Linked DNA regions of Drosophila melanogaster. The gene in region 4 interacts genetically with the main gene of each other region. Each region holds a gene or a part of one and is shown on either strand. Other genes may lie near its edges. The genes, in order: hep, norpA, shi and lace.

What was found.
Region 1: of lace (region 4) and hep, changing one suppresses a phenotype caused by changing the other (phenotypic suppression), as found in Drosophila melanogaster (one study listed by BioGRID).
Region 2: of lace (region 4) and norpA, changing one suppresses a phenotype caused by changing the other (phenotypic suppression), as found in Drosophila melanogaster (one study listed by BioGRID).
Region 3: of lace (region 4) and shi, changing one suppresses a phenotype caused by changing the other (phenotypic suppression), as found in Drosophila melanogaster (one study listed by BioGRID).

Annotation. Positions count from the first base shown.
Region 1 is NC_004354.4:13,087,400-13,091,955, forward strand, and holds the start of hep (hemipterous), read right to left. Parts: upstream 3,036-4,556; 5' UTR 2,378-3,035; coding exon 1,960-2,377; intron 1-1,959. Other genes in the region: lic (licorne), read left to right, coding at 4,084-4,142, 4,213-4,556. UniProt on the Drosophila melanogaster protein: Required for the epithelial cell sheet movement called dorsal closure (DC), which allows establishment of the dorsal epidermis. Controls the expression in the dorsal epithelium edges of another dorsal closure gene, puckered (puc).
Region 2 is NC_004354.4:4,320,896-4,325,629, forward strand, and holds the start of norpA (no receptor potential A), read left to right. Parts: upstream 1-1,730; 5' UTR 1,731-2,260; intron 2,261-2,713; exon of another isoform or gene 2,714-2,906; intron 2,907-4,452; 5' UTR 4,453-4,721; intron 4,722-4,734. Other genes in the region: NO66 (nucleolar protein 66), read left to right, coding at 1-694; mRpL33 (mitochondrial ribosomal protein L33), read right to left, coding at 923-972, 1,036-1,139, 1,196-1,236. UniProt on the Drosophila melanogaster protein: The production of the second messenger molecules diacylglycerol (DAG) and inositol 1,4,5-trisphosphate (IP3) is mediated by activated phosphatidylinositol-specific phospholipase C enzymes. Essential component of the phototransduction pathway.
Region 3 is NC_004354.4:15,890,665-15,895,247, reverse strand, and holds the start of shi (shibire), read right to left. Parts: upstream 3,049-4,583; 5' UTR 2,997-3,048; exon of another isoform or gene 2,667-2,996; intron 2,421-2,666; 5' UTR 2,244-2,420; coding exon 2,098-2,243; intron 556-2,097; coding exon 482-555; intron 414-481; coding exon 1-413. Other genes in the region: CG15916 (uncharacterized protein), read right to left, coding at 3,761-4,576. UniProt on the Drosophila melanogaster protein: Microtubule-associated force-producing protein which is involved in the production of microtubule bundles and which is able to bind and hydrolyze GTP. Implicated in endocytic protein sorting.
Region 4 is NT_033779.5:15,497,362-15,505,141, reverse strand, and holds lace (lace), read right to left. Parts: upstream 6,016-7,780; 5' UTR 5,922-6,015; coding exon 5,718-5,921; intron 3,026-5,717; coding exon 1,916-3,025; intron 1,852-1,915; coding exon 1,589-1,851; intron 1,444-1,588; coding exon 1,227-1,443; 3' UTR 124-1,226; downstream 1-123.

The DNA.
Region 1 (4,556 bases), on a different chromosome or scaffold from region 4:
TGCGTGTGTGTGTGTGTGCATGAAGAGGAAGAGCGAATGAGAGCGATTTTGTTTTTGTTTGCGAAGTTTTTTTTTCCCTGGCAGCAATTCAATTCAACAATTAGCCACTACAACAACAGCACGTCATAAAAAATAACGCTATTTGTAAACATGCGAAAGAGGAGACACGGCACAATGTCCGATGAACGAATGTGGGCAGGGTGCGGCGGAGGTGGGAATATGTGAGGCCCAAAAAAAATGACAACAACAGTAACGGGCATATCAAGACATTACTCCGGAAATGCCAAAAAGTAACCAATGGCGGAGAGCGAGAGAGGAAGAGAGCACCAAACGCGAGTAGAGAGACGCACACATGCAAAAAGTAAATAAAAAGTATGTAAGTAAATAAATAACAACACTTGATGGCAGATGAAAATCCAATAAGAAAAATATACAAGACAAATATGCAAAAACTTAAATGTATAACAAAAGGAAGGGGAAAAGAAACGAAAAAAGGCGGTGGGTGGTCTCACAACCGTGGGCACAATAACGTCATCTCTTACATGAAAAATTTAAAATTTCTATCAATTTAAGCCTCATAAATAATCGAATAACGACAACTTTTGTCTTTAATAAACCAATTTTGTTCTGATAAATTAACATATAGACCGTTATATTTTGTTAGCTATTTATTCATTTAACTTTTGCTCGCTCATTATGTACCACGAACTTGAAAATCTATTCAATAGCTGATTACACTGTTAAAATTTGGGTGTGATTTTAAGTACCCCTGAAATTCGCGGAAACTATTAACCACTACTAATCTAATCGAATCGAAATGTATTTGATTATTCAAAAACCCATTAGGCATTTTCTGGGGTTCATGTATCAAACAGTTATGGTACCAGGAATTGTTAATCTAATCGAGGCGAAAATAAATTGACGCGGTTCACAGCTGTTAATACCACTGTAGATTTGACTTCTTTTTATTTTTGTTTGGCCCAACAAAAGGCCGAAAACAAGTTGGGTACGCTTTTGGTGTTCGCACTTGGCCTGTCTTATCTATGCAATCGGAAAAACAGAACGGGAAATCGGAGGGGGGGAAAAGCGGCAGAGCTACGGGGTTGACGGGGCGCTGCTGAGGTGCTGGAATGGGGGATTATGAGCAGCTGTTATGCAGTCGGGGAATCGATAGCGTTTGCCCTTTGTTGGCGGCATCCAAATGCTCCAAAGTAAACCCAATGGCAATAGCAATGGGAAAAGCCAAGAAAAGAGCACTTCTCTTATCACAATTTAAGCACACATACATGTATGTACACACACACACGCGCACATACACAGCTTATTGGGCAATGACAATTTATTAACAAAATATTTACACAAATGCGGACAAAAGATGGTTTTGTGGCTTGCGGTTGGCGGTACGGTATATATAGATTTTTGGTGACCATTTTTGGGGATCACGATTTTTCTCAGCCCACTTTTATTACCACTTAACAAACTGTCTACAGTTGCGGTCAGAGAAATGTTGGCTTAAATCCACACCTGTCACAGAGGATCAATAAAGATTTCACCTGTCTAATGTTCGATCGATAAAACATTGATCTTTCTGCGAATTAATATCAAAAATGTTGTTTGTGCGTTTGGAAATTTACTTGGAAAGTTTTACCACGTTTTTGGCGGCCAAAACTGTTTTTCGACAACGATTTACTTTCGAAAGTAGAGAATTATCGAATATTCGAATCGGGAAAGTCTCGTTGGAAAATTTTGAGTTACAGTACGCAGTTTGATAAGCTATCATTTTTAGATAGCGGTTTAGAGTATTCCCTGGTACATGGAGTTTAGTTGTGACATTATATTTTGTTATATTTTTCTTCAACGATTTTCAAAGATTCAGGTAACTACAGTGTTTTTCTAGTTGATCCCAATTAATTTTATATATTAAAGATTTAGTAGGAAGTTAACGAAAAGAGGACTTACGCATGGGCAGTGTGGGCGTGGCTCGCGACACTCTAGTTGTCGGCGGGGTGTATGTTCCACCGAAGGTGCCCGTCGCCGGTGCTGCGGATGCAAATGCGGATGCGGATGAGGATGATGACGAGGCGCTGGCGCTGCCGAAGGGCGTCGCATGAGGAACTGGAGGTGCTGGACGCTGGGCTATGCTGATACCCGATCCGGAAACGGAACCTGCGCCCAAGGAAGGTGCGTGGGTGGCGGATGTGGCTGCGGATGCGGATGTCGCCAGGGGCGGGACGCGGGCAGATGGAACGGAACCGGAAACGACAGGGCCGCGCGCACCGGAGAGGACGATCTGGTCGTGGGACTCATTCTGCGCCTGGAGCTTTGCCTCCAAGGATTGCAGCCGACTGCCGATCGTTTCGAACTCAATGGTGGACATTATATCGAGTCGATTTGGTTCGATTTTTTATAGTTAGTTGCTAGTATCGTTGGATTTTGGTATTTATTAAATTTTTTTCGCCGTTTTTTGGCCAGCACTTCTTCGATTTTCCTCTCACTCACTCCCTCTCTCTCACACACACACAAGCGCGCGCAGGCGGGGGAGGGTGCGTGTGTGTGTGAATTGTTTTGCTGTGCGCCCTGTTTGTTTTGTCGCTGATGTTGTTGTTGTTCGGCGGCACACATACACTGTAAACTTTACACTTGCAAAAATAAAGGATTGCTTGGACTTTTGTTGTTTGCCAAGGGGGGGCACAAAAACAAAATCGAAAAAAGGAAAACACAGTCACTGTGCATTAGAGAGAGACATCCTCACCCCCACACACGCACACACACAGGCATACACGCAGCGCCCTCTCTCTCTTTCTTTTTCAGCAGCAACGGCAACAACAACTTGCGATTTTTTCCTCCTTTTTTGGGAGAATATTTCATCGGTTGTTTTCCTTTCGCGGCGCTGTTTGTCGCACTTCTGCAATCGATTCGTTTCGCGACCGCGGGCGGCGGTATCACTGGCACAATTTGATCACTCGCTTTTGTACGTTTTTGCTGCCTAAATCGCGTGTACAATAGTGATGTAAAAAAACATCGATGCATCAGCCATCGATGGTTCTTCGCCGATAATTCTTAATATCTTTTTTCGTGCCTATCGATGGTTTGCAAAACATCGGCACCTCAGAAACAGTTTTCGAACTAGGAACGGCATCTAAAACTATGTAGGATTTTATTTTACCGAGATAGAATAATTTTCAGAGGATATTTCATACAAATATAATATAACTATAATAGATTTTTCAAATTCAAATTGGTCGATTCGAGAGACTTCGTTGTTCTTGTACTTAAAATAATAATATAAGGTCTACCTATTTATTAATTAATAAAATAATAAATTATTTTAGTACAATTCTAAAACATCGAATTCTATATGTTCAGTCAAACTTGCAACATTACGTATCGAAAACGGAGTGACCAAAGTGCTAAAAAGAATCATAAATATACCGAAATGCAACTTAAGATGGGCATCACTTGGCTAGAACTTATTAAGTTTTCCCTTAAAATAAATGTCTATAAATGTATAAATAAAAAATTAAAGAAAATAAACAAACATTAAAAAATAGGTATGAAGAATATACGGAACAACTTTCTAGAAGGCTTACAAAGAGATATAGATATAATCGATACCTAACTTAATTATCTAAATTCGTTGCAGGTGGAAGCAAATTTATTATCGAGGCACTTCGATTTATTTGTATGACGATACTATAGCTGCACTCGTTGGGATATATCGATAGGACCAACTGCGGCTGGCCAGCGCTAGTGGAAAAGAGAGAAAAACGAGAAGAGAAGCGAAAAGCGATCGGTGAACAGTGCAAAAAGTGCGGAAAGGAAAGCAAAGGCAATAGCGAAAGGTTGGGCGGCAAAACCCGGGCCACACGATCCACACCGATCCGATCCCCATATCACCGACCCGCATCCGAATCCTGACCTGACCAAATGCGGTAAAAATAGCCGCACCGCATCGCATCCGATTCGCACCGAACCGCCAAGTCTTGCAGAATCCGCCAGAAAACACCAAGGAAAGTCGTGGAGAGGAGAGGGTATATATAGCATATAGCATATAGGATATAGGATATAGAAGGGCCTACCAAAATGTCCAAACGCCACCGCCTCACGCCCTTTACCATTGCCAAGGAGCCAGAGGCCGCCATGTAAGTCAAAATGGTCAAATCCTGGCCAGAAACGAATTGTGAATTGAACTACATTCGGCAATCCTTTTAGAGTCCCGCCACGCAACCTGGACTCGCGGGCCACCATCCAAATTGGCGACCGGACCTTTGACATCGATGCAGATAGTCTCGAGAAGATCTGCGATCTGGGCCGTGGCGCCTATGGCATCGTGGATAAGATGCGCCATAAGCAAACCGATACGGTCCTGGCCGTCAAACGCATACCCATGACCGTAAATATTCGAGAACAGCACCGCCTTGTAATGGATTTGGACATATCGATGAGATCCAGCGACTGCCCCTACACCGTCCACTTTTATGGTGCGATGTATCGCGAGGGCGATGTCTGGATTTGCATGGAGGTGATGAGCACCAGCCTGGACAAGTTCTATCCGA
Region 2 (4,734 bases), on a different chromosome or scaffold from region 4:
ACAGCACTCGCTGCACATTACCTTGAGTGTTTACCAACAGCAGGCATATGCCAATCTTCTAGAGACACTAATGCCCATGGTTCTTAAGAAGGCCGTCGATCGGAGTGTGGCCTTGCGTCGCGGCTTGCCGCTGCACACTTTTCAAGTTTTGGGCAATGCCTACAAGGGAAATGACTGCGGGTCGCGCAAACAGCTGGTGGAGAATGTGCAGAAGCTGGTGACCAATTACTTGATGCCCTCCGAAGATGATATTGATGAGGCCGTCGACCAGATGGCCAAGAAGTTCCAGCACGAGGCACTTCCGCCGATCGTATTGCCCTCGGAGGAGGTGCGCACTGTTCATGGGGCACGCAGTGATGCCGATGAGCAGGGCAACTGCGTCTGCGATTACAAATTCAATAAAAAGACATCCGTGCGCCTGCTGCGTGCCAACATTCTGCGTCTGGTGACCGAGTCCGATGGCAGCGTGCGTATCTACCACCATGTGGACAATGGCCTGGATTACTGCAAGTACGAGCCCTATTTCATGGAGATTCTGCCAGAGGAAGCTAAAGCCGTTGAGCTCCTCATATCGGCCTATCCATTTTACCTCACCATTGATCAGTTGCCATTGGAGTCTTCAGCTCGCAAGATAGAGGTCGCCACCGCCCTGTGGGAGCATGGTCTTCTTATGACCGAGAAGCCGTTTAAGTAGACGGCAATCGAAAGCGAGTTGCTGTTGATAATTAGAATTAAGTATCGATGCGAATGTGTATCTAAAACGAGCGTAAATTAATATTTTTGTATAAATATGTAACCAGATTTATAATGCTCCTATTCTGCCGAAAATAAAGCACCCACATTCGCACATATATCTCGGTTGTTTTTTGGTGTTTCCAATAGTTGTAAATTTTATTTTTTTCACTAACAAAAAATGGTTATCTTAGGCGCTGCGGATTTTCTTGCGTTCACGATAAAGGCTTTCCTGTTGAACTGAAAAAGAAACATGGGCAACATCAGTGCATATGCATAAAGTCAGTGATGGCCGGCACTCACTGTACGGATCGAAGCGTATTATCTCCAATTTGTCGGCCAAGCGATCGCGAAAAGCATTAAACTGATGTCCACTGACCACACTTTCCAGTACGACCATGATGCGCCTGTAAAAACGGTTGGTTTTAACAAAAAGAACAAATTGGATGTCCAAATTACTCACTTGCTCTTCACCTTTTTGAACAAAACGTTAGTTAGACGCATTTTGATTCGGTAAATGGGGAAAATGCAGTGAATTATGGAAATATGCCGCTGAAATTATTGTGCAAGCAAGACGATAGGAACGAAGAACAGCTGACTGCGCCTATCGATTACCACCCGAGGGCTCAAGCTTTTCACCCGGATATTTTGAAAAACAATCGGTGTCCACGTATGATGAGTATATATTTAATATTACTATATTTATATTTGATGCATTTATGTCTCTCTGTTTTAAAGCCTTCCTTTCGAAATTGCTAAAAAGCTCTCAGATGCAATGTGGTTAGTAGAAGTCATTCACATATGTATCTTTGGTTGAAGTCCCTGCCAATTAAATATTAAAAAGTTAACATACAGGTTTGAGTCCGTGCTAGAGACTGCAAGCTGTGCCACTGAGGTTAACAGAAGCCAATCGATACCAAGCGCAAGCACTGAAATGTATCGTCGAGAAACATCGGTGGTCAATGCATTCGATGCTTTTTTACATCACTAACACTCGTGCGAAACGGACGCGAATTTTCATTTGTGCTGCGGAAACCAACAACAACAGACAACAAATAAAAACAAACGAAAAACAAAACGGTCAAAATTCCGTGTAAAAAAACTGAAGCCTTGGAAAAATAGAACGAAAAACATAGACGCACTAAAAGCTCAGTGAAGTCCTTTGTGGGCGAAACCGTATAATAAAATAAATCACAGCCACACGCGCTTTCTGTAACTCCTTTTCGCCTTGCCCTGCTCTTGTTTTCCCTTTTAAATATTTTTTTTACGAGTTGGTTTCCCGAGAATTTCCCATACTCGCGCGTGGTAAACAAGACTCATTTTTTTTTTACAGTGTTTGTTTTTTGAAAGTGCAGAGAAGCTGACAAGAAAGAGATAACAACATAAAAACAGAAACAGCCAAAGAGTGGCAACAACAAACAAACCAACCAAACGGAATCAAAGTCAAACAAACGCGAACGCGAAGGAAGCTTCAAAAGAGAGACAAGAGCGTGAAAAGGAGGTGGAGAGGAGCTGCGGAGAATCTAAGGTAGGAGGCAGATTGCGAAAAATACGTTTTTTTGTTTTTTGTTGATTTGCATTTGCATATTCAAAAGTTCTCTGTTTTGAGGGTTGCAGAAGCGAAATTAGTTTTTAAAGCCCGCTTAGTAGCCAATTTGCCGGAATTGCACATTGGAATTCAGTGTGTTCCTAAGTACATAAATCACTAAAAACTAACGGCAAAAATTCAAATAGCTTTCAACAAATATTTACAATTACTCATTGATAAAAGTGGTAATGTGATCCATGTGTAAGTTGTTAAATTATTTTCGTAGCGCATTTGTACGAATGAAAGACTGCAGTAAAAGTTTTCGATTGCATGCAGATCGCTTTCCGAGTTTAAGAAGAAAAGTTGTGGAAAACGTTTTCCTTCTTTAGAGACATCAACTTAATCAAATATCGAACAGCTAGTAAGCCATTGAAATCACATCAGTTTCTTTCTGTGCATCTGGCAAAGTGCTTGATTGTTGATATTTCGAGAGGGGGTTTTCGAAAAGCGATCGGAAATCCAAATTGTAAATGATTTACCAAAAACGTAAACTTGGCCGTGACGAGGGGCAAGAAATGGTCGAAACGTGGGCTGGAGCGGAGCAGGAGCAGGTGAAATACATAAACAAACAAGTGCTCGAAGGAGGGTTAGTTGTGGGAGGGGCTACGCAAATACATAAGTATATGAATAAATAATATAAACAAAATATTAAATTAGAAGAAATTTACTTGCGCGCACGCCGACGCAAACACGAACACAAGGTGCTGGTTGTTGTTGTTAGGATGGTGTGGATATGTGGTGGGGAGGGAAAAGCACACATAAAATTGAAGTATTCAAATTTACACACGCAAAAAACGACGTCGGCAGAGCAAACAACAATTTGCCAGTCCGCCAGCCCTCTCGCTCGCACCCATCCGCACTTGGTCGCCGCGTCTCGCTCGCACTAACGACGGCCACTTGTTTTGCCCTCTGTCGACGTCCACGCAGCCACTGTGCACTGAAAGAAACAAAAGACATGGTACAACATATTCATGAATCGCTTGTAAGATTGATATTTTTTTATAAACGCTCACTTTTCTGTTAACAATACAATATTTTACTCGAAAAATTTAAGAGTTTAAAATATTTAAACTTTAGTGTAAAATCACTGAGTTATTCGACACTGTTATTTCAAAATAAAAAAAATAATGATTTACGACCGATAAACAAAACAAATTTAAAAAAATTGAGCCGCAAATACTTTAAATCATCCAATTCCCATTTAGCTTTATCATTTTTTTTCTTTTTAATTTTGTAGGTGTTAATTAGCAAATACTCATATTTTCCATCTCTCGCCCAAGCTGCAAATGTGCATTATTCAAGCTCTACTGTAGTTCTACGTAGCTTACTTTTTGTGGCAAGTGTGGCGATCAGAAGCTTTATTATGCTTCTCCCTCATTTCCTTTTGTTTGTTTGAACTGCAACCGAGCGAAAGGGGGCGTGCCAGTGGGCGGTGGGTGGCCTGGGATTGTGCAATAAAGCTATAATAATAAAATAACAAACAAACCGTTAAAGCGAACGCCGTCGCACACTCATCGCACCCACACAAACGCACCATAGGTATTGGTGTGTGGCTGCATGATGGGGCGGAAGAAATGGAGAGGAGAACGGCAGGCGAAGGAACAATAATCATATTTGCACTTGCTCTCTCGCACGATCATCACCCACGCAGAAAGAGCGGGCAAGAGCAGCAGAGAGCGCCGGTACAGTAGTCATTCGTCGCACGTATATAGCTGGCCATAAAAGTGGATAGTCATCAATGTGTACTGTTTAGTTTCATAGCATTTATAGAGCAGTTTAGTTTGTTCAATATATTCATATGCAGATTAATTATTTAAATCAGCACTTATCCGTCTGCACAAAAAGGCCCCACTGTACTTGAGATAAAAGTTCTCCGTTGCTGGCTCTCCGTTCTCAGTTGGTCAGTGGTCGTCCGCCGGAGCTTTTCCCGTTAGTCCGCTCGCATAATATAATCCGCGATAAACAAGGGAACACGGCACGGAGAGAGAGCGAAACGGCAACGTGTTTCGTTTTGGTGTCAGTTTCGGTTTTGTTTGCCGCATGTTTACCCATTGTATTATTATTACCTGTTCTATTTCTTTTTCTTTTTTTTATGTGTGTACATTTTCACAGCAATCGCATATTTTTTGCAGTGGCTGTGAGCTGAAATACAAAAAATAAAAAAAACAAGTGCAACCAAATACAGTGTTACCTGTTGTGAGTAAACTTAAGGAAACGTGGAGAGAGCGAGAGAGTGCGACAGCCGACTGATCAAACTGTAAATCTTGCAATGCTCTTCAAACTGAAATTCGCAAGGCGGGAAAAAACAAACAAATATAAATAAACAAGAATAACAAACAAAAATAGGTAGCAAAAGCAGGAACAACAAAAGCCGAAGCCAATTAATTAAATACATATCTACGTAAGTTAAACAC
Region 3 (4,583 bases), on a different chromosome or scaffold from region 4:
TGCATCGGTGCCCTCGTCCATCAGATCCAGCTTGGTTATAACGCCAATGGTTCGCACACCCTGTGGATCCACCTCCTTGGCCAGCTTGAGGGCATCCGAATTGGCCAGATCCGTATTGGCCGGGGTCACAGCCAAAATTAAACAAGTCTCTTTGCGAATAAATTGGAATATCATCTGCTTAATTTGCTGCTCAATATCCACCGGTTGATCGCCAATGGCCACCTTTGTCAGGCCTGGCAAATCGATCAGGGTTAAATTGAGTACGTGCGGCGAGTAGACGCGCAAATTAATTGGAATGTTTGAAATGCCTTTGTTACTACCGGTCACACGATCCGTTTCATCTTCGATTTCTTTTCTGATCTCATCGAAGCTGGAAAACTTCTTGCCTTTAATGTGAAGGAACTCGCCATATTCTGCAATAAATATCAATGTTAGCATTAGAAGATAGCTTCTCTTTAATCATATCAAATGCTCAACTTACCGGTAACTCCATTGATCAGTTGCAAGATTAGTGGTCTCCGAGTTACGATACCAGAGCCGCGCGGCAAGAAATCTCTGTAAAATGGGGAAAACGTTTTGTATTTAATAATGGAATCATAGAAGTCTTTGGTTTTTGGATTGTGGAGCCTGTTCATCTAACAATATTACTACTGGGCTTAAGAAGTATGTAGAAAGCATTAAGCCTAGTATCAAAACATTTTGAAATTGCATCGAATAATGAGTATTTGAGTTGCCAATACTAAAAACTTAATGGAAATTTAACTTATGACTTGCAGCTAGTGTTTAAATTTCCAAGTGAGAACTTCAGGACTCCAAAAGTGTTGGGCATTGTTTAATACCACTGAGTACTTAAAGTAAAGCTATTTGTTAGCTAGGCTAATAAATCAAATGGTAAATGGGTCATTTTGAACACTCTGGTCACCTACATCCTGTTCGCACTGACCAGAGTTAGAAGAAGCCTTCATTTTCCATTGACATTAAGACTTTGGCCTGCCGTGGCCGTGGGTCTCGCTGCCTCTCTCGCTTCCTCCGATGGCTCAGTGGTGTCAGGTGGGCGGGGGGCGGGGTAACCACCCTAATTGACACACATACATACATTCATACATACATATAAAGCACGGCGCATGCGAAATCTAACTGGACTATTTTGAACATAGTGGACTTATGTAAGCACAAACTTTACATGGCTCAATGCAGTTTGTAAATACATGAATGGGCATATTGATTAATGTTCTTTTTCAGCGCACCCCCCCCCCCCCTTATTTGCAAGCTATGAAAAATAAATAAATCGACTCTAAAGGAGGTCAAACTTTTACAAATATATTCGAAAGTAAACATATAGAATGTGAGTTACTCTACTCAATCGTTGGGCAAGAGTGGGGAAAAACTTAAATCGCCGACACACTATCATTTTGGCCTTATCTGCATTTTTTTGGGGCGTAAGCCATTGTTTTCTTTATATGTTTGTATTTAGAGTGGACACTAACAAAGAAAAATGAGAGACAGCGCAGGCTTATAGATACAAACACACAAGAAATCGCATTGATACATACAATTTAGATTTCTGTTTAACAAAATTCAAAATACGTATACGTAGATGTTCTACAATTCGTTTTGTGAATATAGTTTGCAGAGCTGCGGGGCTTTTGGATTTTCAACAGCTTTGTGCAGGTGAAAGATAAAATTCTTATTATCATAATTAAGTTAAGACCACTGATATGGTTTGGTCATTATGAGCAAGTACACTTGTTTCGTAGACACCAATTATTGATTGTTAATAAACAACCAAAAAAAAAAAAAATAATAATAATGCCTGAAAGCGAGTGCTATCAGCGATTACTCATAGTTTTTCAGTAACATTTAATTGGGCATTCCACGAAACGCAGACATAATAGAAAGAATAGCGCTACTTTTCGCTGAGCACTGGCGTGCAGAAAAATCGATTCGCTGCATGCCAAAGAGGGGTCTCTTCAGGTCCATTATCAATCACAATATATGTAGGCTAGATATTTGGGGTGCTGATAGGGTGATATGGTATGATAGTATGATCCCATATGAGAGGATAATATGCTGATAAGGCGTGCGGGGGATACTCACTTGCCCACAAAGTTCTCCAAAACGGAACTCTTGCCAGCTGACTGGCCACCGACCACCGCGATCTGCGGCAGATCCAGTTGCATGTGGACGCCGAGCGATGTGAACGCATCTTGCAGCTTGTTAACAATTGTAATTAAACTATCCATTGCGGCGAGGTCCGATTTCCCTCACAATTAGATTAGATTAGATATCAGATCAGATCAGATCGAACTGCGATCCCAACTCGTCCGGATGTTTGTGTTTTTACTGCTCAGCTCCCGGGTCTTTTTTTTTTCTATGCTGTTTCCTTTAATCGCTGGCTTTACTTCACTGCACACACTCCTCTGCAAAATACAATTGCTGCATTATAAATACTTTCATGCGTTCCATCACTTTTCTTTTCGTTTGTATAGATAACACAAAAAAAAAATTGACAAAATTTGTGTGCGGCGGTGGGGGTGGTGGTTAATAACAAATATGCGTAAATCGTGGGGGAATGGGGAAAATTGCAAACAGAAATCGTTATTGGAGAGCACTCATGAGTTACTCATTCTCCCACACGATTAACCAACCCGATATATTGTATGTACCACCACAATAACCTTTCTTGCTTCTTCGGATTATAATGGCGATGTAGCGAAACTTATTGGAATCGGAATTGGAATCGCGAAGAAGGTAAAGACGGGTATGATTGTTGGGTTTTGCGAGCAAAAGTGTTTATCGACATTTACACGAAAATAATTTGTATATATACTCCCAAACGAATTTATCATCGACTTTTCCAATTTGTCACTTATTTCTCAGGCGTAACTGTGTTGTGTTAGTGTAGATGTCATGTTTATCGCCACAAAGAGCGCACTGCGATTTGGGCTTTGGCTTGGTCTTTTAAACAAATATTCTTCTTATTGTGCAAAACTGACAACTATCACCACACTCCGCTTCCAAATCGTTTCAATGGATTTTTTCGACTAAAACTAGAGATGCAAGAAAGTAATCAATCTGTACCCGATAAGCTGGTCTGGTCTGATTTTTTTTGGTATAATTGATAGGGCTGGGTGAATCACTCGCGATACATCGATATATCGAATAGTTTCCGTATGCCGAAGCTAAGTGTTGGTTTCGATAACAAGTCCAGTGCTTTATCCGACATCGATATCAATTTAAGCGCAAGGTCGCCTACTATCGCAACTATCAAAAACAGCTGATTTGATTACATTAACTTACAAGTAATTATCTATCTATTTATTAAATTAAATGCACATCTACAATATGCATATCCTGAAGGGAATATATAACCAATACTAAAAGCTTATAAAACTATTCATTTTATGCGCATGTCCGGCTTTTCTGCGTTTTTGCTTTATATCGATAACAGATACAGATGCAGTGCGCAAGCTTTAAAAGCATAATAACATAATCGAGTATGGTAATGATTTGACCTTTGACATTCAATTTTAAGCCGTTAAAGCTTTTTTTTAGAAACGCAATCGATACTCTATTTTAAAACCACTCAACATGATGAACTAGTTGGGATAAAAGTAGCCAACATTTCAAACTTATTGGAAAATGATTAAACGTTTACAGACCCTACCCCTATTTTCAACTTTAGAACCCAATTTACATTGGATTGAATAACACTTTAATAATTAACATTATGTACATAAGTCGAGGGATTTAACAAACGTTAGGTTTTCGCAATATTTTGTCTATGATTAACCCAGGCATCTTTGGACTTGCGCATCTTGCCGAGAATCTTGTCCATAACTAAGCTATGGTTAAAACTGAGGAAATCCTGTCGCATCTCCGGCCATTCCTCATCCGCAGCCGTCTGACAACTCTGTGCGTCGCTTTCTTCAACTTCCGCATTTGAACTAGAGTAACTGTGCTGAAGATCGATTTTGGACAGAACCTCGTGGACCTGATGGAGACCAGTGCTCGTTTTGTCCCGGACAAACTTGATCTTTGGCACTTCGCCCATCAGATGGAGCTGCGATAGCTCGTGCTGCAGTTTGCCGCTCATGCGATTCAATGTGTTCTCGAGCTCTTGGTTCTCCCCGCCATCCTTGCCCATCCAATAGACATTGATGCGGGAGAAGTCGCTGGTGATCTTGACATAGGAAATCTGCACTCCGTGTCCCACGATGGAATCGGCAACTGCGCCGGTGGCCAGAATATCAGTGATGTTCGTCATGAACAACTTGTTCAGAACAGACATGCGTCGATTGTTGTGGCTGCAAGTTGTCTTCGAGTGTGGGGTTCCAAACTTTAAGGCGTGCAGCGACTTTTGATTGCCTGATGTTCCTGCATCGGGCGATGGATACCAATGGCTTTTGCTGCCTTTAAGCCGATTTCCAAACAACGAGCCAAATATTTTTCCCTGTCGCGTTACGTTGTCTTTGCTCGACCTTTTGGAGCTCTTGTTTCGCGAAAGTGCCAATTGGCAGGCGTTGTTAAGAACGGAGTGTCCATTTTGTAGCCTTAAAACACGAATGCTTAACATTTAGTCT
Region 4 (7,780 bases):
ACGATTTGAAAGTCGAACTGTCAATTGATTGCTATTCCTATTACATAAACTTAAATTAACTTGACCCCTTGCAAATGGAGTTTATGTATTTTAAATTAAAGAAAGGAGGCAGTGCAACCAAAATGATACTGAAACAAATTTTATTTATTTTACTTCCAAATCGTCTAAAATAACATATTATCAATATCGATTTAATTGATATCGCTAATCTCTAATTATCGCTTAAAAGTCAGGCATTTACTTAATTAAAAATGGTTCAAGAAGTAGCTTTATTTAATTAATGGCCACTGTACTTCTTATTTTCTCAAAAATAAGAACTAAGGCCCTAGACTTAGCGGATTCTCTACATATGTGTTTTATATTTGCGTCGAGTATCCAACTTCTGTAAATTAACTGTAGAGGTCGCATAAGTTGTGTCAAAATTTATGTAAAATACAAGGCAAAACATTTTTCGACTTTAAGATTCATCTGCCCGCCAAGTTTTATATATTTTAAATAAATATTTACACTAGTAGACTTAAGAATCCCGTACAGTGAATACTTTTACAGTAAGCTATTCCAATATAGTTTATTAGATAAAGCAACAATTTCTTTATTTTTTTGGTGGAAAAATAAGATCAATAATACATAATTATTATACATATATATTTCCTGACAATGCCCTAAAGTTGACCCAATTTTTGGGTCCCCCGAAGACTTACCCAAATAGTGATTTACAATTGTATCGCTGACTCTTTAGACGTTACATTTGGCTCAGCTTAGTATGCTTAATTGGTAGAAGCGAGGTGCTCGAGGCTTTCCCACGAAAAAGGGGCTTCCCTTAGCTTAGCTATAAAAGTAACCAAACCCTGATTTGCCCAATACATTGCGCTGTCATTTTCTCTTCTATAAATACTTAAAATGCAGCAGCCGACCAAAGAAGACGATTGGATTTTACATATACAATAACAACTACGTAGAGGTAAATGCTAAATAATTAATAATATTTTATCATTTAAGCTATGTGCTGTAGTGTTTTGTTTCTGTTGCTGTAGTGATCTTCCCTTTTAAGGCATATAACCAGAGAATTAGTCATAAATAGAAGCCCAGTGCAACTGAAACTTGGTCAATGTAAGCCACCGTTCGTGATTGATTTAGCACTATCTGGACTGTGTTGTAGTTTTGGTTTACCAATCGGGGAGGTTACCATTTCCCCAAGCTTAACTTCTATGTGTGTGCGTGTGATTCTAGTAAATGACGGGATTCGGATCGCGTGGCTTGCGAGAATACTTTAGGCCCAGATCATCGGCAATCTCGTCTATCGCCTCCAGGGCAAAGTCCAGCTGCTCCTTGGTGTGGGCGGCTGAAAGGCAGAATCGGATGCGTCCTTCCATGATGGGTGTGGCCGGGAATCCAGCTCCCACCGCGGCAATGTGGCGAGTCGTCAAGGTGCGAACCACAGCGCTACAAAGAGAAAATGCAGTTTAGTAAAAAGAGACTCCACAGGATAATTGAAGTTTTTTCCCGTTTGATCTTTTAAAAAATGAAATGCTCCTCCACGCACAATCTAATGACAAAAGTTATTTTGGTTTTATGACCCCATTCTTACCCAATCTTGGAAAACAGGTACACCAGCATGGGCACGACTGGGGAGTCCTCGTGACCGTATGTGATCACTCCCAGCTGAGCCAGACGTCGGCGGAAGTAACGTGTGTTCCTGGCCAGCTGGTGGATCTTCTTGCGTCCAATGTCAGTGCCATCTTCACCCATAATGGTCTTCATGGAGGTAAGGATTTGCTGTGCGATGGGTGGCGAGATCGAAGCAGCATAACAATGGGCGTGGCTGTTGGTGCGGAGAAAGTCAATCAGTTTCTGGGGAGGATAAAAGATTATTGATAAGTGAGGAATATGCGAAAGTGTAGCCACTCAAGCATACCTTGGATCCAGCGAGATAGCCTCCAGCACTGCCAAAACTTTTGGTGAAGGTGCCCATCAGAATGTCCACCTCCTTCGGATCCACATTAAAATAATCTGTAACTCCTCGTCCACGGGAACCCATGGCTCCCACGCTGTGAGCTTCATCCAAATACAAGTATGCTTTGTATTTCTTTTTCAGAGCAATAACCTCGGGCAAACGGACTATGGACCCCTCCATGCTGAAGATGCCCTCGACCAAGATCATAACCTTGTCCCATGGCTGACCACCTTTTTTGGGATTTCCATAGCACACACCCTGACGGAGGACGCGCTCCAGATCGCGCATGTTGTTGTGCTTAAAGACCTTGGTGGTGGCCCCGGACAAACGCAGTCCCAAAATGATGGAGGCGTGATTCTTTTCGTCACTAATCACAAGACTGTTGGGTCCCAGCAGTGAGGGAAGGTTCAACGCATTTGTGGCGAAACCCATTCCAAAGACAATGGCATCCTCCACGCCAAAGTATCTGGCAGTTAGAGCCTCCAGCTCTTGCAGCTGCTCGTTGTCACCAAGCTCACAACGGGAGCTGCAGTATGCCAGTCCAGAGCTCCGAGCACTTTCCTCTGAATCATCAGCACACTGTCCAGTAGCGGCGGCAAATCCCAGGTAATTGTAGGATCCCAGATTTAAGCAACGTGTCTCCGTTCCAGTGAACTTGAAACTCCATCCATAATCATCGGTTACGCGATCCTTTAGAGTGAGTTCGTCTCCCGGAACACTGCAGATGGGTCGGTTCCAGCAATCCTTGATTCTCCTGTAAACGTACCTCGAGTAGAAGCTTTCGAAGGCATCGTAGAGGGCTACATAGCCATCCCGACCCTTCTCGGTGGCCACTTTGGGCACGAAGAGCAACTGGTTGATGTAGCCCAGGATCATCAGTAGATAGAATCCCAAATACGTAAGGCAGGCCGTGTGCAAAGGCACCTCCTCAAAGGAGGTTTTCTGGAAGTGCTCCAGCTCCGGCGAAAGTTTGCCCTCTGCCTGGTTGGGCTTGGACTCCTGATCCAGAATGGAGGCATGCCCATTGGGGATCGACTTCTTTTCCGGATGGTAGTTGATCGAGCTGGGACTCTGTAAGAGGGGAGAGGAACGATTATTGGCTGGTTATCGCTATCATTGGTATCACTGTGAATCTTCATAATTTCCATTGAAAATCACTCATCAAAGAGCAAATAATCAATATTGTTAGACGGGCTAGATGGGAAATTGTAAGACAGATTGTAAACATGTTCGCTTCAAAGGGATCAGCACAGTAATACCCATTTATACGAGTATGTATATCAAAACTTATAGTTCTCATGCGTAAACGCTTTTATAAAAAAATGAAAAATTCTACATTCTCACTTGCTTGCCCTTTCTATGCGTTCAGTCAATTCATCAGTCAATTAACATTTAACTAAAAGATCCATATATGCAAGGTACGTATGTACATATATAAATACAATCACACGATAACTGCTGAACAATTTGCTCCACCGCTCACATGAGCCGAGTTCGACATGAAGTCACACAAAAAGAGACAGACACAAAAATCATACAGGGGAAGCCATAAATGTATATAGTATTTGTGTGCCCAACTTGGCACACTTCAACCTCACCAGCTAACAAATAGAGCGTTATAATTAACGTACTTATTTAAGTGTATATATCATTTGCTTATTGATTTTGCTGGCCAAAGGATCCGATACGAGACATATATATATCTCATTAACTGAGCAACACAAACTGCAGATATATATTCCGAAAAATATATATAGTTGAACGTCAGCTTAATCGTATAACAATAACGAGTCGGCGACAATAATATTTCGTGTTTATTATCATTTGCCACCGGGCTTGTTTACTAAATACGATGAGACGGAGTGCGGGGAGCGAAAAGTCAAGTGGGTTACGCGATGCCTAGTTATTTAATGGAGTCCCAGTGTTAGGGTATATAGACGAGCTCGAAGCTACCGTAGAAAGATCAAAATCGAAACCGACATAAATAAATAAATAGAAAAAGTGTAATACTAATTACGCTATGGGTCGCGTACAGAAGGACAGCTAAGTAGGGAGCATGGTGTGGGATCCAGATAATGACTTCCATATGTTGGGGATCCATGGAGTCCAAGATAACGACTGACAATCGACCAGCGCACGCCAAGTTCTAACCGATTTTGTGGGGATTCCAAGAAGTATTAGCTGTGAGTCAGTAGATAATTGCTTTGGCAATTTCATATTCTTAAGTATTTCTTTTTTATTTAAGCCTTTACCTTTGAAATCATGCATACTGTAATCTTGCCGAGCTGATAAAAGTTTTCTATCCGTTGATATTGGAGATATGAGACTTGCACGCGCTAACATTATTTTCGTGTGATTAAAAATTTGAAAAGGTCTTTAGTTGCCATTAAATCAAGCTGAATGATTTCAATAAGTTGTCGCCATGGTACGGAACTATTTCATTAAATAAATTTTATGTAAACCATTGTATTACTTTCCGAAAAAAAGAAATACAAAGCTACCAATAATGAAATCTTTAGGTACTTAAAAGAAAACTAACAATTGCTCACTCCCCAAAGATCGAATTGTATCGGAATTACCCAATGAATGTAATGTTATAATATGTTTATCTTATCTTTTTAAAAAGTTATGAATAATAAAAAATATGATAATCGGTTAAGTATACCCGCCAACAGTTATTCTTTGGCAGCCCAGACGCAGGGAGAGTCCATGAATTTTAAAACAAAACTCTTATCACCGACAAATCAACGCCCACCCAAAACCGCTGCCTTCGGAGATTGCGGAGCATTGTGATTCACCAGCGAATCGCATTCTGCGAGGCTTTACGTAAAAGACTGGTGGAATGGGCCTGATAAGGCGAGCCGGGCATGGCGTGGCATGACAATATTATGACCAGACCAGCATTGTGCCGCTCTCCCCACACACATTGTGCACCCAAACTACGTACTTATGTGTGTGTTTGCTTTGGGGTCGTACTCCAGTCACTAGGAAAATTTCGAATGAGTGCAGGAGTGCCGAAGAAGAGACAATGGCTAGATTAGAGAGTGCATGTGGTAAAATGGACTAGCGTACCAAACAGTTTAACGCACATCTAAAATAGGTATTATGAAATTTCTGAAATCTAAGTTACTTTAACATGCTGATGTTCTTATCTTAGGGCTTAGTCAATTGTAAGATAGCTATCTCAGAGGAATGTATAGACTACTTAAAATTATAATAATGAAAGTGAAATAATATTGCCCAATACTTTAATTTCCAACACTACAAATTGCCTTTCATGATCACAATTTATGAAATAACTCTCTGATCGTATATGATGATAGGATATTTCCGCAGAGTTCTAATAGTTTCTATCATCCGGAAGTAGCCAAAATACGCCAAATGGTCAGCACTCGCGGCGAAAAGGAAAACACGCGAGGAAAACACTGCAGTGGAGGGAAAACAGCTGTGGCTGCCCGATGACCCAGAAGCGGGAAAAGCGGAGGAAAATCGCCAAAAAGGGCAGCAAAAATTGGGCCGAAATTCTCCAGCTGACGCACGCCTTCACTCTCACTCTCTCTCCCTCTCTCTTATGCGCGCTCCCTCGCTCTCACACAAAATCAATAATTCGCCGGCTGGAAGAGCGAGCGAGAGGGTGAATGGAACCAGCTATGGAACCACATTTTTGGCCAATTTTTATGGCCTTTTAGCTCGTTATTTTCGTTTCGTCCAAGTGTTTAACTCGCGTTTCACCCCGCACACTGAGCGAAAATGCCTGGCTCACCTGGGCGTCGTTTGCGGGCTTCGGCTGGCAGCGTCGCGTGCGAATTTCAGTGTACGCGGGTGCCGAGAACTTCCGGAGAAGTTCCTGTTTTTCCGGGGCACTGAGATCTGCCGCCCCATTGCCATTCGGCACCTTTCCGTTTCCGTTGGTCGTCGCATAGCTCTGCTCGAAAACCGTTCCAGAATCGCCGTCGAAATTGCCCATTATTCCGTTGCCGATTTCCGATTACTCAGCGGACAAAAAATTACGGAGAGATCGATGCGTTTTGCTTAAATAGGTTTCTTTCTAATTGGAATGGTGTGGCCAGTTACTCGGCCAGCTGTTATACTGAAAACTGCGCGCCTTCGGTATTTTAAGGTACTTATCGTATTTTCACATATAATTTAAAAGGCCACATTTTGTGGAATAACGCTTCCGGTTGTGTTCTCTGCTTTTAGTACTGCCAGCTCCTAGCGAATACCTCCACCATGCAAGCAGTTCAAGCCACAGTGCTGTTTAGTATACTTTCTGAGCGCCAGATGTCGCAAAAGAGAAGTAGATTTTTGTATTAATTAGATTTTCAAAGAAATTTATTTAAACTAAAATGGTTTCTATTTTAGTCACATAGGGGTTCAACTTAAATTATTTGACAGCAATTTAATGAAAATATATAAATTTATATATGATACGAGGGTTCAACAATGTATCATTTAAGTGGGAGATAAGCTAAAAAAAATAATGTTTTATATTCCATTACATATTAGAAACCACAAGTTTTCAGACTTAACACGTCAAGCATTTTCCCCTTGAGCATTAAAATCGGTCCAAAACTTACGCAAAGAAAAATTCCGCCTCGCCGGCAATAATAAATTAGATTAAAATGCACAAAGAAAAGGAGGAAAACAGAATTTCAGGCAACAGATATTCAGATAAAAGTGCGTAAAGCGGCAATTGTAGTAAAATTCATGAGCTGCGAAGTGCGTTGACTCTTTGCCGCAAGGAGACACGTCTCGGGCAGTGGATTTCGCCTCATAAATAGATCATCTCCATACCGCAGGCTTTTGTTTTTCTTCACATTTTATTGCGGAAGAATTTCGACTATTTTGTAAATTAATCTGCTGTGGCCGGCCGATGACACTTTTCAAGGATTTTCAGAGCCCATTTCAAAATCAAAACATTGAACTCGCATTTCAGTTTCGTTTTCAGTATGCGCCGCATCCCAACTGTGGGTAAACAACATGAAAACGACGCTAAGGCTTCTAATTGAGTTGGAAGCTTTTGTGGCAGATGTAGCCTCTGCAAAATGCCAACACGTTCCCCGGCAAAAGCTGCACCGATCGCTACATCGATATGCAAATGATTGCCAAATTGTCGTAGCCGGAGATGCCAAAAATTTGAAACCCAATCTGAGTCCAAGTCACCAAAGTGGGTGCTACTGTCAGGGCTGAAGCCCTTTGAGCCGCAGGCCCAGAAAGCGGGTCACGTCGGGTTTTCATCCAGCGATTGCCGATCGACGCCAGCGGCACCCTGAAGGCAAAAGTTTCCGCCGATGCCAGAGGGAAAATCACATACCCTTTTCGAGAAGGTTTCATTTATTTCTCAAAGCACTTAATCAAGGATGAGGATATTCTAAAATATAGCATATATTATTACTTGGTCTATTTTAGTAACATGTAAATATTGTATAATAAATTAAATAGGATTTTTATATTCCACTTGACAATCTCATGACATTGAAAGTATATAATGTAAAGTTGAAAATTTCATGAATTTGTTGACTTCGATCATTATTACTTATTTCTATATTTTGCACTTCTATGCCAAGTTAATCCCTAAAACGGAGAAAAATGCATTGTATCTCAAAGCTAGCCAATTTCTGTCAAAGATTCTTAATGCTTATCTCGATGATCTGATGGTGCAAATCGCTTTTGAATGCCACAAACCGTGTTTCTGTCTGCAATTTCGGTCCGCTAACTGCGATTTCGGTTGTCTGTGTATTTTTGGTGTTGCTGCTAGTTGTCGATTGCCGGTTGTTGTTGGTTGCATGTTGGCGGTTTTGCACTTTGGCTGGTTCGCTTATCGAG